3 linked regions of the Saccharomyces cerevisiae S288C genome follow. The protein of the gene in region 1 purifies or fractionates together with the protein of each later gene. This does not show direct contact. Each region holds a gene or a part of one and is shown on either strand. Other genes may lie near its edges.

What was found.
Region 2: the proteins of ARA1 (region 1) and EGO4 purify together in Saccharomyces cerevisiae (affinity purification with mass spectrometry, with the first as the bait; one large-scale study listed by BioGRID). This does not show direct contact.
Region 3: the proteins of ARA1 (region 1) and ARO3 purify together in Saccharomyces cerevisiae (affinity purification with mass spectrometry, with the first as the bait; one large-scale study listed by BioGRID). This does not show direct contact.

The regions. Positions count from the first base shown.
Region 1 is NC_001134.8:536,751-543,280, forward strand, and holds ARA1 (D-arabinose 1-dehydrogenase (NAD(P)(+)) ARA1), read left to right. Parts: upstream 1-3,236; coding exon 3,237-4,271; downstream 4,272-6,530. Other genes in the region: RTC2 (cationic amino acid transporter), read left to right, coding at 1-715; YSW1 (Ysw1p), read left to right, coding at 1,126-2,955; TBS1 (Tbs1p), read right to left, coding at 4,459-6,530. UniProt on the Saccharomyces cerevisiae protein: Catalyzes the oxidation of D-arabinose, L-xylose, L-fucose and L-galactose in the presence of NADP(+).
Region 2 is NC_001146.8:689,252-693,357, forward strand, and holds EGO4 (Ego4p), read left to right. Parts: upstream 1-3,309; coding exon 3,310-3,606; downstream 3,607-4,106. Other genes in the region: ABZ1 (4-amino-4-deoxychorismate synthase), read left to right, coding at 1-747; SOL1 (Sol1p), read left to right, coding at 1,070-2,035; ARC35 (Arc35p), read right to left, coding at 3,768-4,106.
Region 3 is NC_001136.10:518,390-523,428, forward strand, and holds ARO3 (3-deoxy-7-phosphoheptulonate synthase ARO3), read left to right. Parts: upstream 1-3,426; coding exon 3,427-4,539; downstream 4,540-5,039. Other genes in the region: YDR034C-C (gag protein), read right to left, coding at 1-967; YDR034C-A (uncharacterized protein), read right to left, coding at 2,127-2,303; cysteine-rich palmitoylated domain-containing protein CPP3, read left to right, coding at 2,925-3,080; mitochondrial 37S ribosomal protein mS47 EHD3, read right to left, coding at 4,822-5,039. UniProt on the Saccharomyces cerevisiae protein: Stereospecific condensation of phosphoenolpyruvate (PEP) and D-erythrose-4-phosphate (E4P) giving rise to 3-deoxy-D-arabino-heptulosonate-7-phosphate (DAHP).

The sequences.
Region 1 (6,530 bases):
TAACGTCATGGGAGCTATGATGCAAAATTTACTCCCAACCATGATAATTTTAGCTGCTTACTATACATTGGCAGATTTAATTTTGTTAATACAGTGCATGTGGTATGACAAGGAGAAGAAGAGCATTTTACAAGAAGTCAAGAAAAATGTTGATCCTGTGCATTTGCCTCCAGCAAACCCCATAAATGAGACTGTCTTACAAGACGTTTTTAATGAATATGAGCCACTTTTGCCAAGGATAGAAGAAGAAGATAGCCAATCGTATAGCTCGCTTGAGCTTGGCAGAACAATAGTCGTAAAGGAAAGAGAGAATTTTTTCAATGACTTCTTAATTGTTTCAGGTGTACTTATTGCCGGAATTTTGTCATGGTATATATCTTACTGTTCCGGCCTAGATAACGGTATTCCTAAAAAAAAACCTGCGTTCGAACAGATTAATTTACCTGCACAAATTTTAGGGTATTTAAGTGCGATACTGTACTTGGGCTCTAGGATCCCTCAGATTGTTCTTAACTTCAAAAGAAAATCATGCGAAGGAGTCTCATTCCTATTCTTTTTATTTGCATGCTTAGGGAACACTTCTTTCATAATCTCAGTGCTCTCAGCATCTTGGCTTATCGGTAGCGCTGGTACGCTGTTGATGGACTTCACAGTTTTTATTCAATTTTTCCTTTACGCCAAACCTAAATACGAGAAAATACTAATAGATAATTAACTAGTTGGCTTCTATTAATCTTTCCACTTAAAACTCAAACTTACTCATATGCGCATCGGCTATAGCCCAGAACTAGTATTTTCATTTTATGGAGGAAACAAAATTACTAGCGCCATCACGGCTCAGTCGTTATTTTGGCGATGCCCTTTGCTGACACGCGTCTGAAAAAATACACAAAAAATAACACAAAAACGAGTAATGCCATTTCCTGGGTGGGGTCTCTATCCATAGAGGAAAAAAAGTGACAGGAAGGGGACAAATTCAACTATTCACTGTAGTCATCTAATAATTTTTTTAACTTAATCACACCAACAAAAACAAAAAAAAGCTAAAACTAGGTTGAAGGATTTTAAGAGAAGTTATTGCACCGGTGTATTAACATATATAAGGATACGTACGAACATAACATCATGTCCAGCTTAGCCGATACAGTAGAGGGTAGCGAGGCCAAACGCGGCAGATTTTCCAACAATGCATTAACCTCCGATACTGGTATTTTACAGAAAAATAGTACATTAAGAAACTGGTTTTTAAAACCGACAGCAGACCTAAAAAATAGTTGCGAAGATAGAGTTGAAGATGACGTCAATGATGTCTACTTAAATGACAAAAACTCACAAAAATCTGTTGAAGAAAGAAAACTAGGAAGAAAAGTTAGATCTTTTTTCAAACAAACAAACTCAAATAAGGACGAGTCTGTGTTGGAAGATGAAGATGATGCGTTAGTTTGGAAGAAAACTAGCAATAAGTGTGCAAAAAAGGAAAATTCCCATGACATCCAAAAAGGAAGTTTCACAAAAAAAATCAGAAACAGTATTTTCAAGAGTGCAAATGACGTGAAAGAATTCAGGAATGAAAATAACTTACTATTGCCCGTTGAACTTTCTTCTGATGATGAGAATGAGTCTCATTTCACTGATGCTAACTCACATGTTATGCAATCAAAAAGTCCCGAGAAAATACCTTCCAAGGATCAATGCTTGACTAAAGGCGCTAAGAATAAAGGTCTGAAAAAGGAATATGAAAAAAGTTTTGAAGAGTATAGCGACGACAGTGACGATGAATTTTCTCCTGCTACTCCACCGGAGAATGTTCTTGAAGGTCCTTACAAATTTGTGTTTCAGACACCAAACACATTTACATCTCAGCCTAATATAACAGTAGAAAATGATTTTCACAAAGGTGGGAGACATGTGATTGACTATCTGAACAAAAAATTGGCTACTATGAACATTGATATTGATTTGACTTCAGGGGGGAAACAAAACGTATCTTGGGAGGAAGAGCTCGACCAATTGAGCGACCACGTTATAGAAAGTATTACTAACCACATTTCAAAGGGTAGAATGCACGCACAAGAGAAGCAAGATGAGTTGGAAAAGTTAAAATTGGAGAATTTGAACTTGTCAACATTAAAGCAAGAAAATCTCCAACATAAGCAGGAAATTAACTCATTGAAAGACAACCTTGAATCCATTAGTAAAAAAAACAATGATCTTATATTGGAAATGAACAAATTGAAAAAAAAAAGTACGAATAATAAAACAAATGAGTACATATCTACGGATGAAAACGAAAATGAGGAGATTACCAAATCCAATATGGGTCCTGGCATTTTAGAACTGAACGTCAACGAAACTTCAAAAAAATTACAGCAATCCACATTCAAACCCTCGAAATATCTTCCAAGAGAAACGAGAAACAATGAAAATAGATTAAAACACTTGGAAAAGAGAATATTTGGCTTAGAAAAATCTCTTGAAAAAAAAAAAAAACAGGTAAGGGCTGACAGCGTTAGATTAGACTTGAATAGATATACTATCGACCAGTTTTTGACATTACTGAAAAGCCTCAGCGAGGTTTTGCAATTCCACAATGTTTATGGCAATGATTTGAAGGAAAACGACGATAATATTATAAAGATTGAAACCTGCTGTAGTGCGCTAAACATGAAAAATTGTTTCGAAGACTCCTCATTTCGTTTACAAGAAAACAGCTTCAAGAGGCAATTGGGCCCTCTGTTCGCAAACATCAACTTCTCCTTAATCGACCAACTGACAATGAACTTCAGGTTCTACGAGAGATCTGCCAATTTCCAGAAGGAAACAATAGGTGGGTTAAGAATGATGCTACAAGATAAGGATAACTATATCAAAACACTGATGCAACATTTGAAGAAAAAAGAGAGTACAAAGTTGATAAAAGACAGCAAGAATGGCGCCTCCACCTTAACATCTTAACAATTTCGTTTACTGAAAATGCTACTAGTATATAATCATTAAGTATCTAACTATCACTCAATAAAAATATTATAGATCGCTTAAAAACTCGTTTATTGCCGATTATAAATCCACCAAAAGCCGCTCTACCCTTACCTCCGCCTGGAAAAATTATAATATATAAAGTGAGCCTCGTAATACAGGGGTAAAAAGGAAAGAGGGGGATATCAAGCATCTGGACTTATTTGCACTATCTCCGCCTTCAATTGATAAAAGCGTCTTGATTTTAATCAACTGCTATCATGTCTTCTTCAGTAGCCTCAACCGAAAACATAGTCGAAAATATGTTGCATCCAAAGACTACAGAAATATACTTTTCACTCAACAATGGTGTTCGTATCCCAGCACTGGGTTTGGGGACAGCAAATCCTCACGAAAAGTTAGCTGAAACAAAACAAGCCGTAAAAGCTGCAATCAAAGCTGGATACAGGCACATTGATACTGCTTGGGCCTACGAGACAGAGCCATTCGTAGGTGAAGCCATCAAGGAGTTATTAGAAGATGGATCTATCAAAAGGGAGGATCTTTTCATAACCACAAAAGTGTGGCCGGTTCTATGGGACGAAGTGGACAGATCATTGAATGAATCTTTGAAAGCTTTAGGCTTGGAATACGTCGACTTGCTCTTGCAACATTGGCCGCTATGTTTTGAAAAGATTAAGGACCCTAAGGGGATCAGCGGACTGGTGAAGACTCCGGTTGATGATTCTGGAAAAACAATGTATGCTGCCGACGGTGACTATTTAGAAACTTACAAGCAATTGGAAAAAATTTACCTTGATCCTAACGATCATCGTGTGAGAGCCATTGGTGTCTCAAATTTTTCCATTGAGTATTTGGAACGTCTCATTAAGGAATGCAGAGTTAAGCCAACGGTGAACCAAGTGGAAACTCACCCTCACTTACCACAAATGGAACTAAGAAAGTTCTGCTTTATGCACGACATTCTGTTAACAGCATACTCACCATTAGGTTCCCATGGCGCACCAAACTTGAAAATCCCACTAGTGAAAAAGCTTGCCGAAAAGTACAATGTCACAGGAAATGACTTGCTAATTTCTTACCATATTAGACAAGGCACTATCGTAATTCCGAGATCCTTGAATCCAGTTAGGATTTCCTCGAGTATTGAATTCGCATCTTTGACAAAGGATGAATTACAAGAGTTGAACGACTTCGGTGAAAAATACCCAGTGAGATTCATCGATGAGCCATTTGCAGCCATCCTTCCAGAGTTTACTGGTAACGGACCAAACTTGGACAATTTAAAGTATTAAGACAACGACTTTATTTTCACTTTATTTAGTTCGCTTCTTAATCTTGTCAAAAACAAGATATTGTGTAATCGCCTCAAGTAAACAATATGTTTTTCATACGTGATTTGAAGTTTTTAAGTATCTGAAATACATACGCGCGCGTATGCATATGTATTAGTTAAATTACTCGAATGTCCTTTATATAATATTACATTTTTACACACACATTCTTGAAGAAGAAATCCCGATCGTAAAAAAAAACACCGTGCTCCAAATGGCCTTCAATCTTTTCGAATAATTTATTCGATTGTTCATTCTCATCTCTATAATCATTCGCCGTACGTTCAGGATATGACGCATCAAGCAGCGAAGCTAAACCTGTTGGAAATAAAGATCTGTCATAGTCATCGTCTTCTTCATCATCATCAGCACCATTATTACTATAATCATCATCATTGTCATCATCATCATCATCATCATCATCATCATCATCATCATCATCATCATCATCATCATCATCATTAATATTGTTGTCATTGTCATTATTGTTACTGTTACTGTAGTTATTGTTATTATTATTAATAGTACTACTACTATTATTGCCATTTTTATTATTATTATTATTATTATTATTATTATCGTCAGTATCATCAGCGCCAGTAGTCTCGTTATTATCAGTATTGGTACCATTACTATGATGATATTCCTCGCCTGGCTCAAGAGTTTTATTTTCCCACAATTTCGGAATGCTTGAAAATTGCAAGAAGTTCAAATCCTGGATTGTTATTTCATTGAAAATATTGAAGGACACTTCCATTTTTTCTTGGTCCTCTGTAACGAAACTACCAAATGCAGCCATCTTCTCTTTATTTATGAACGAAGTTTTCAAGAGCTCGACCATATCATCTTTTGATTCTCTCGTATGCTTAACTAACCTATTGAGAACACCCTCATAATAATTTGAATCAAAGGCATAGAATTTTGCGTATTTACTTGTCAGATTGAACTTTTCCATCGTACTCCGTAGAAAAAAAGTGTAAAAAAAAAGAGATGTTTGCCACTTCAGATTGTGTACTGAAAGACAGCGTTCTTCAGATCCAAGCATACGGGTATGTGTATCCCTCAATAATCCAATTATATAACCAGTCTCCATGGCATGTTCGTCATTAACCATAATCTCTGACAAATACAGAAACATGGAAAAAACCGTTGTGAGAGAAAAATACAGAAACTCATTCTGAACAGTAGGGTAGTATTCAAAATCTTTCAAAATATTAAGTACTTCGATGCAATTTCGCTTGAAATCCAATCTTGACCTTCTAATAATTTCAGCTATATCATGCCGGGAACTTTCCCGTTGATCTAAGTTATCTCCAATGATGGATATGACAAATAAACTCAGGGTTATCTTTTGATGGTACCATCTGAGGTGTAATAGAATAGTAGTACAACAACTCACTTCAAAATCTAACTTCGAAGAATCCAAAGATAAAATCCTCATGTTTTCCTTGTAATTTTCTAATGATAATATGGTGGGCAAATCGTCTCGCATTCTATCTAACGCCTTTTGATTTTCCAGTACATTTTCAATGATTTCATCTAGTGTATCGTCTAAAGTTGTTCTGATGGAAAAACATGAGTAATATATTTGAGACTCTATGAGGGATAATCTCGACAAAAAATATGATTGAATGTATGGTACATATTCAAGGTGATTCGCGAGTAAGTTTACAACGGATACAATATCTTTCACCCCTTCTAGTTTTGAATCATCGTATTTTATAGAAAGATTGGGCAGAATTTTATCTCTGAATAGTTCAACATAGCTTTCATCTGTTAATACATCAGTGTTTTCCTCCTTGAGAAAGGGCGGTCTTGACAACACCACAGAAAAGAATTTGTCTGTTGAAAAACAATAACACCACAAGCGTCTTCTTTTAATGATTTCATCAAGTTCTAGATCCTCATAGGTGGAATGTAAATTGAGCCGTAAATCCAAAGCCACTTTGATAGCAACGGATAGTACTTTGACCGCTGATGAAGCACTTATTTTTTGTTGGGCAAACTTTGCCAGTAACAGTAATGCCTTTAATGCCGTCATATCTGCGCGTGCTACAGACAGTTTATGGTAGTAATAGACAGAATTGAGAAAAGTGAAAGATCTGAGTCTCCATAATTCGAACTTCTCAAAATAATAGGTTTCATGATTATCTTCATCAACTAGCTCCTGCTTCTCCTCAAAATTTGTAACGGTGGCCCCAAGGCAGAGGCAGATATTTA
Region 2 (4,106 bases), on another chromosome or scaffold:
ATTTTCCAGACCTTGGTACAAAGAAACCCGGCTCCATTTTCAAGTTTTTTTGAGTTTAAAGACATTATTCCCCGCCAAGATGAAACGCCTCCAGTTTTGTGCTTCTTAAGTACTTCTCCAGAAAGGTTTTTGAAGTGGGATGCAGACACATGCGAGCTACGTCCCATCAAGGGAACTGTGAAAAAAGGACCGCAAATGAACTTGGCAAAAGCCACACGAATCCTGAAGACACCAAAAGAATTTGGTGAGAACTTAATGATTTTGGACTTAATCAGAAATGACCTTTACGAGTTGGTTCCTGACGTTCGGGTGGAGGAGTTCATGTCCGTGCAAGAATATGCCACCGTTTACCAACTCGTTAGCGTCGTAAAGGCACATGGATTGACCTCTGCCAGTAAGAAGACGAGATATTCAGGCATTGATGTCCTTAAACACTCGCTTCCTCCGGGATCTATGACGGGAGCCCCCAAGAAGATTACTGTGCAATTATTGCAGGACAAGATAGAAAGCAAGCTAAACAAACATGTCAATGGTGGAGCACGTGGTGTTTACAGCGGTGTCACGGGATATTGGTCTGTGAATTCCAACGGAGATTGGTCTGTTAACATTAGATGTATGTATTCCTACAACGGCGGAACCAGCTGGCAACTCGGTGCAGGGGGGGCCATAACAGTCTTAAGCACACTAGATGGCGAACTAGAGGAAATGTACAACAAGTTGGAGAGCAACTTACAAATTTTCATGTAGATATTTGTATATTATTAGATATGTATGCAAACATTTTCTTTAGAATAATATACTATTCTTGTACGATGCAGAATTTTTTTTTTTTTTCGCTTTAGGAAAATGACGTTTTGTGCCGTGGAAAACCCTGGAAAAGGATATTGGAAAAAAGTTAAAGCATGGTCATTTAGGGAAGACTTTCCTTCCAATTTACTTATCAATAGGTTATAATGTATGCTTGACGGAGCAGAATTCTTTCAAACCATAAGATAATAGATATTATAACATTTTAGTACATAAAAGAGGCCCGAGAAAATAGATTTTAACTGGAATAATTTTTTGCAAGATGACAACAACCGTACCTAAAGTGTTTGCATTCCATGAATTTGCAGGAGTAGCTGAGGCAGTTGCCGATCATGTTATTCACGCACAAAACTCTGCCCTTAAGAAGGGCAAAGTCTCAAGGTCCACACAGATGTCCGGAACGAGCCTTAACGGAAATGGTAACACAGAATCCAAAACGATGGAGAGAGTAAATTCTGTAAGGAGTAATGCCTCCAGCCGTGGTGGTAGTGAAGACGGCGCCACTAAGAAATTGAAAAAGGAGAAAGAAAGGCGCTTCAAGATTGCGTTGTCCGGTGGTTCGTTAATCCAAGTGTTGCACGAAGGATTGTTGAAAAGAGACGACGTTCAATGGGGTAAATGGGACATTTACTTTGCTGATGAAAGACTAGTGCCCTTTAGCTCCAGTGAAAGCAATTACGGTCTTGCTAAGAGAAAAATATTCGATTTAATAGATACGGAGAAGTACGGAACTCCGAAAATTTATCACATTGATGAGTCATTGATTAACGACCCTCAAGAGTGTGCAGATAACTATGAGAAAATTCTAATTAAAGGATTTGCCGGTAGAGATTCTGTGAAACTACCGATGTTTGATCTGTTTCTGCTTGGCTGCGCTCCTGACGGTCACATAGCCTCGTTATTCCCCAATTTTCAAGAGAATCTACGTGAAAATCTGGCATGGGTCATACCTGTAGAAAATGCACCCAGCGGACCTTCGAATAGGATTTCACTGACCATCCCAGTGATTTGTCACTCTCATAGAGTCACCTTTGTTGTAGAGGGCGCCACAAAGGCGCCTGTAATCAAGACAATAATGGAAAGGCCTGAAAAGGGATTGCCTAGTAGTATTGTCAATGAGGGCGCCGCCGGTCGTGTTTCATGGTTTGTAGACGACGATGCTTTGAAAGATGTCTTTGTAATTAAGAAGAAGTACAAGTTTTATGATGATGAGAATTTGACTGAGTAGGTGTTTAATTTTTTGGGTTCTTTTTCTTTCTGATGATAATGACAACTAATGACAATACTATGATTTAACCTTAACCATTTTCTTTTTTTAGCTCTTTCTATCCCCACCCTTCCCTTTAGTAATCGCAATAAATCACCCTATGTTTTTGAATTTTCTCGAGAAGTAACTTTATATAAAACAAGTCATCTTAGTGACGTAGTGTGCATATATAACATACAACATATATAATATATACAATAACCCTTTAGAAAAAAATAATAACAACCACAGTGGATATTTCCCTTTTGGACCTATGGCTTCCGCTAAGAGAAAAGCATGCTTTTAAGTTTTCTTTTCTTTCAAGGAGATTATTTGGTCTTAAGCGAAGTGAGAGATTGAAACAAAATGTTAATTACAGAGTTTACGAAGAATCAGTTTGCAAGACCACCTTATTCGTATGGCATTATCAAGCTTTGTGTGTAGACTATCCACACAAACATGATTCAACATACATAGCAGTGGTAGGTATACAACGGATATAAAAACCTTAACTCTACGTGTAGAAAATGTAAAAGGGTAGAGCGGTTGCAAAAAAGCAAGTTTTAGTAGGATTCCAGGAACAGCTTCTCATCTTGCTAGATAACATACGGCAATAATGACAAAATACACTGAGCCATGCGGTTGTTACACTTTCCCAAAATAGTAATCTACTTCTCCCATTTTTTATATTTTGCGTATCACACCACATCGTCCCTCAACACAAAAGTTTTTGTTCTTGTTGACAAGACTGTCATTTTCCCCTTGAGTGACTTTATGTCGCTGATTCATTCATTTCGGCATTGTTTGCTGTTTATTCCCCAGATTCTTTCCGCTTTGCTTGGCTGCCCCTTTCCCCGGAAGCCTCGAGATTAAGATGAAAAGACTAATAGCCAGGCTGTTAACCCCTTGTTGATACAGTTTGGACACCCCCTACTAGTTAGCTGTGTATCCTGAATCTATGTCAAGCAAAAATTGCTTACATACAGTAAGGTATTTTTTATAATCCCGCCAACACTATGTCGACTCCTTCATTTTGGACATCTTCTTTACATGGACGAACCAGAGAAGGAGGTCGGCTCGAAGGGAATGTAAAGCTATCATAGGGGTATAAATAAGAGACACATTGTTCTATTATAGAGAAAAATATTTTATAGATCTTGTATCTCATCTTGCGTAATATAACCAAACAAAGGTTTTCCTTATACTATATCAAACCAAAAAAAAAAAAAAGCAAAACAACAAATAATCATAATATCATGAAGTCAAGTATTCCAATCACCGAAGTATTGCCAAGAGCAGTGGGTTCGCTAACATTCGATGAAAATTACAATTTACTGGATACATCAGGTGTCGCAAAAGTCATCGAAAAGTCACCAATCGCAGAAATAATCAGGAAATCAAATGCCGAGTTAGGTAGGCTGGGCTACTCCGTCTACGAAGATGCTCAATATATAGGTCATGCCTTCAAGAAAGCTGGCCATTTTATTGTGTACTTCACTCCAAAGAACAAGAACAGAGAGGGCGTTGTTCCTCCTGTAGGAATAACCAATTAGCTCAGAACAGAATTAGTGTTAATAGCGGTGACAGTAGTTTTATTGTATCTCACCTTTTTTTATGTATAATCATATAATGACTTAATTATTTTTGAAATGTTTCTTTTTTTTTTTTTAGTTATAACCCTTTTTACGGATTCTTACGTACTTATTTAATCTTTCTAGTAGACAATCTTTCTACCGGTGAAGGTTCTTCTTGCCTGTTGTCTGCCTTCTGCACTCAATTCATCATTTTCATCATCTTCGTCCACCTTGGCTCTATTTAAGACTTTGATGAACGAGTCCACTCTGAATCTCATTCTGGAGTGCATGTAGGCTTTAGAGCACTTTATGTGATAATGGAAGTAGTTTCTAAACAATGTTAACTGGCAAATTGAATGGAATTGCAACTCTTTTGTCTGGAAATGACGTGGGAAAAGAACAAACGTGATAAATCTTCTACTTTGCTCTGCAACTTTAGGTGGTTGATATAGTCTCTTCAACTCCAATGGTGGTTCATG
Region 3 (5,039 bases), on another chromosome or scaffold:
GATTACGTAGGTATTTGAAGTCACCGGATAGACCTTTAAGTATTAGTTGACAGGCCAATCTGTCGCTAACATTGATATTGTTTTCTTTTAGCCTCTGAATGATCGTACTGACTGTAATTTCAAATGTATCAGCAGATGTACTTCCGTCGTACTCAAGGTTGGCAAGAGCTATCCAATCCTTTAATTCTTGATTGTTAGTTTGCATTTTGGACACACTTTTACAAAGGACTGTAAGGATGTCAGCATAATTAATTTCTAAAATTTGTTTTACCCATGTTGGCAATAAATGAAATGGGGCAAATGCTTGGAAGGTATTGTATATATACGCATGTTCTTCATAAGTCATTTGTCTTTTGATTTCACCCTGGTCATTTGGAATGATGTCACCGAGATTAGAGTTCTTCAAAAATCTGATGTAAAATTTAACCCATGTAGAAAAGTTTTCTTCTGATGTTAAAGTGTGTGGTGGTAAGACGTTATTTCCCACCTTTGTCTTAGCTTGAGGTATTTCAGAGTGTTGATTTTTTAAATCGATTGGATCAGGTGAGGAAGTACTCAGTGGTGGGATATACTGTGGCAACGGATAGTGTGGGTCCGGTTGATAATACGCAGGTGACGTTTGATAATGTGAACACGTCATCATAGATGGTTGTTGGTAATGTGCCCAGTTAGAGGCCATAGCTTTGTTTGGGGTCATCATGCCGTGCTGTTGGTACTGTCCATTCTGTGGAGGTGGTACTGAAGCAGGTTGAGGAGAGACATGATGATGGTTCTCTGGAACAGCTGATGTCCCAGGTGTTGTCTCTTGTTGAGAATTAACCTTAGTGGAATCTCTATCAAATTCCGGTAAATTGGAAGCTGAAACGGCTAACGGATCTTGATTTGATGGGACTTCCTTAGAAGTAACCGAAGCATAGGCGCTACCATGAAGATTGGGTGAATTTTGAGATAATTGTTGGGATTCCATTTTTAATAAGGCAATAATATTAGGTATGTAGATATACTAGAAGTTCTCCTCCAGGATTTAGGAATCCATAAAAGGGAATCTGCAATTCTACACAATTCTATAAATATTATTATCATCATTTTATATGTTAATATTCATTGATCCTATTACATTATCAATCCTTGCGTTTCAGCTTCCACTAATTTAGATGACTATTTCTCATCATTTGCGTCATCTTCTAACACCGTATATGATAATATACTAGTAACGTAAATACTAGTTAGTAGATGATAGTTGATTTTTATTCCAACAAGAAAAATACAATCTTCGAAAGTCATCCTCCCTTGAATATTCTTTCTTACCTAAACGAATAAGAACAGAATCTGAAAACAGGCAAGTGATTTTACGGAGGGTTGGCCGAGTGGTCTAAGGCGGCAGACTTAAGATCTGTTGGACGGTTGTCCGCGCGAGTTCGAACCTCGCATCCTTCAATAACTTATTTTTTTCCTCAATCTTCGATATTAGACATTTTTTTTTTCCTATGCCTCCCTTTTCCAAGTAATGTTTTTTTTTTTTTTTTTTTTTTTAGCTCCTCTCACAAAAGTACTGAGGACTGAAATGTAAAAACTAATAACACAATAGAAATAATCATATGATGATATAGAAAAGAAGAGAGGAGACAATCATAATATTATACGAACTCATGGCTTTCCTTATGGGAAATTCTACATTCTCGATAGTGACCCTGGTATATTCAATATACTTAGGAATAACTGTCTTTCATAACAATGGCGGCCATACGATTACCGTATTATCCACCTATTCTTGATATTAAACTGGAAATTCTGTGAATTTTGTGATAATTGTTGGAATTCCATTGTTAATAAAGGCTATAATATTAGGTATACAGGGTTTACTAGAAGTTCTCATCGAGGATTTAGGAATCCTCAAAATGGAATCTATATTTCTACATGCTAATGTTACGATTATTCCTCATTTCGTTTTATATGTTTCATTATCCTATTACATTATCAATCCTTGCATTTCAGCTTCCTCTAACTTCGAAGCTTTCCATAACTTCTGTCATCATCTAATACCGTATATGATAATATATTGATAGTATGACCACTAGTTGATACACTGTTGGAATAAAAACCAACTATCATCTACTAACTAGTATTTATGTTACTAGTATATTATCATATACGGTGTTAGAAGATGACACAAATGATGAGAAATAGTCATCTAAATTAGTGGAAACTGAAACGCAAGGATTGATAATGTAATAGGATAATGAAACATATAAAACTGAATGAGGAATGATCGTAATATTAGCATGTAGAAATATAGATTCCATTATGGGGATTCCTATATCCTGGAGGAGAACTTCTAGTATATCTACATACCTAATATTATTGCCTTATTAAAAATGGAATCCCAACAATTACATCAGAATCCGCACAATTATCATAGATGATAATGGATTTTTATTCCAACAATCAGCATGCCTTTTGTATTTCTGTAAAGAAGAGTAAACCATAACCTAAGTCAATATCAAATTTAGGATTGATGAATTTTCTACTCAAAATGCTTTGTTCAAGAAGGTACGAAAGAAGGTTCCAATCGTCCATTTTAGGGTCCTATAGTGTAGTGGTTATCACTTTCGGTTTTGATCCGGACAACCCCGGTTCGAATCCGGGTAGGACCTTTTCTATTTTTTAACCCTCTTGTTTTATTTTTCTTTCTTGGCTTTGAATTGCACAGCCCCTCGCATTTTTTTTCGATACCCTGAAAAAAGGAAAAAGGCGAAGAAATAAGGGCAATTTCTATTTAAAAATTATACAAGCTCGATTTTTCATTTTCTCCTTCCCCTCTCGCCCCTCCCAGTTTTCAACTGTATTTAAATGTTTCTCAGTTATGTTGTGAATTAAAATAATCCTAATTGTCAACTAAAAAAGTCTAAGTTAGCAATACCAAAATGAGGCATCATCAAAATATGCATTATGCCCCACAACAACAACCAGTCTATGTCCAACAGCCTCCTCCTCGGAGAGAATCCGGTGGTTGCTGTAGAACCTGTTGTCACTTCCTATGTTGTCTATGTTTAATTAACCTATGTTGTGACGTTTTTTAATTCTAATCGACAGCTAAAAATTAGTATGGAAAGAACATCATATTTAGCCGCTGAAAAAAAAGAAGCAGCTGCGTATCTTCTCAAATTTATGCGTACATAGTGACATATATTTAAAAGCTTCCTCACTTTCCTTTTTTATATTTTTTCATTGCTCAAGTATTAGTCACATCGGAAAGTATGCTTGCTGCATTAAATACATGCATGTGTTTATAAGTGTTTGCATTTTCTCTCTCTTCTTTTTTTTCTTCCTGTTACTTGTATACGAACGACATATTTATTTTCACTATTTCTCATTTATATTTATAGCTACTACCCCTATTACGTTACAAGAACACTTTATAGCATTATGTTCATTAAAAACGATCACGCCGGTGACAGGAAACGCTTGGAAGACTGGAGAATCAAAGGTTATGATCCATTAACCCCTCCAGATCTGCTTCAACATGAATTTCCAATTTCAGCCAAAGGTGAGGAAAACATTATCAAGGCAAGAGACTCCGTCTGTGATATTTTGAATGGTAAAGATGATCGTTTAGTTATCGTGATCGGGCCATGTTCCCTACATGACCCCAAAGCCGCTTACGATTACGCTGACAGATTGGCTAAAATTTCAGAAAAGTTGTCAAAAGACTTATTGATTATTATGAGAGCGTATTTAGAAAAACCAAGGACTACTGTTGGCTGGAAAGGGTTGATTAACGACCCTGATATGAATAACTCTTTTCAAATCAATAAAGGTCTACGGATTTCGAGAGAAATGTTCATAAAACTGGTTGAAAAATTACCCATTGCTGGTGAGATGTTGGATACCATTTCTCCGCAGTTTTTGAGTGATTGTTTCTCCTTGGGTGCCATCGGCGCCAGAACTACTGAATCCCAACTGCACAGAGAATTAGCATCCGGTCTATCTTTCCCTATTGGATTTAAGAACGGTACTGATGGTGGTTTGCAAGTCGCCATCGACGCTATGAGAGCCGCTGCACATGAACATTACTTCCTTTCTGTCACAAAGCCAGGTGTCACTGCTATCGTGGGCACTGAAGGTAACAAGGATACCTTCCTGATCTTGAGAGGTGGTAAGAACGGTACTAACTTTGACAAAGAAAGTGTTCAAAATACTAAGAAACAGTTAGAAAAGGCCGGTTTGACTGATGATTCCCAGAAAAGAATTATGATCGATTGTTCCCACGGCAACAGTAATAAAGATTTCAAGAACCAACCAAAGGTTGCCAAATGTATTTATGACCAGCTGACGGAGGGTGAGAATAGTCTCTGTGGTGTTATGATTGAGTCCAACATAAATGAAGGTAGACAAGATATTCCCAAAGAAGGTGGCAGAGAGGGATTGAAGTATGGTTGTTCTGTTACGGATGCTTGTATTGGCTGGGAGTCCACCGAACAGGTATTGGAGCTATTGGCAGAAGGTGTTAGAAACAGAAGAAAGGCCTTGAAAAAATAGCCTGTAAATGAGGGAAAAATGCAAATAATCTTGAATGATACTCAAAACTTTTGATTTATTGTAATTTCTTTCTGAACCATATTTATTACATTCAAACTTTTTTTTTTTTGCCTTTTATAAAAAAAAATACTTATAAGAAAAGAGAAAGAAAATGACAGTTTTCTATGTATCATTAAATAAACATCCATATACAAATATAGCGTTATGTTTTACTTTTATTATTTACATGCATAGAAGTGTTGGCAAAATTCTTTACGAGCCACGGGGCTGCTATTTCAGGTTTTATTTCCATCTTAAGCCATCGTTAACTTCTTCACATTTTCTTTCACAAACAATTTTACATAGCGATTGGATACCCAGTTTCCCTCTTCTAGAAGGAATCACATTGGCAAAGTGATTTAGTACTTCTCTTTCGGTAACTTTGGCGCCAGTGTCATCATTCGTTCTCTTTTCAATATACGCAGCGATTTCCTGTTCTGTAGGCAATTGGTATTTAGAAT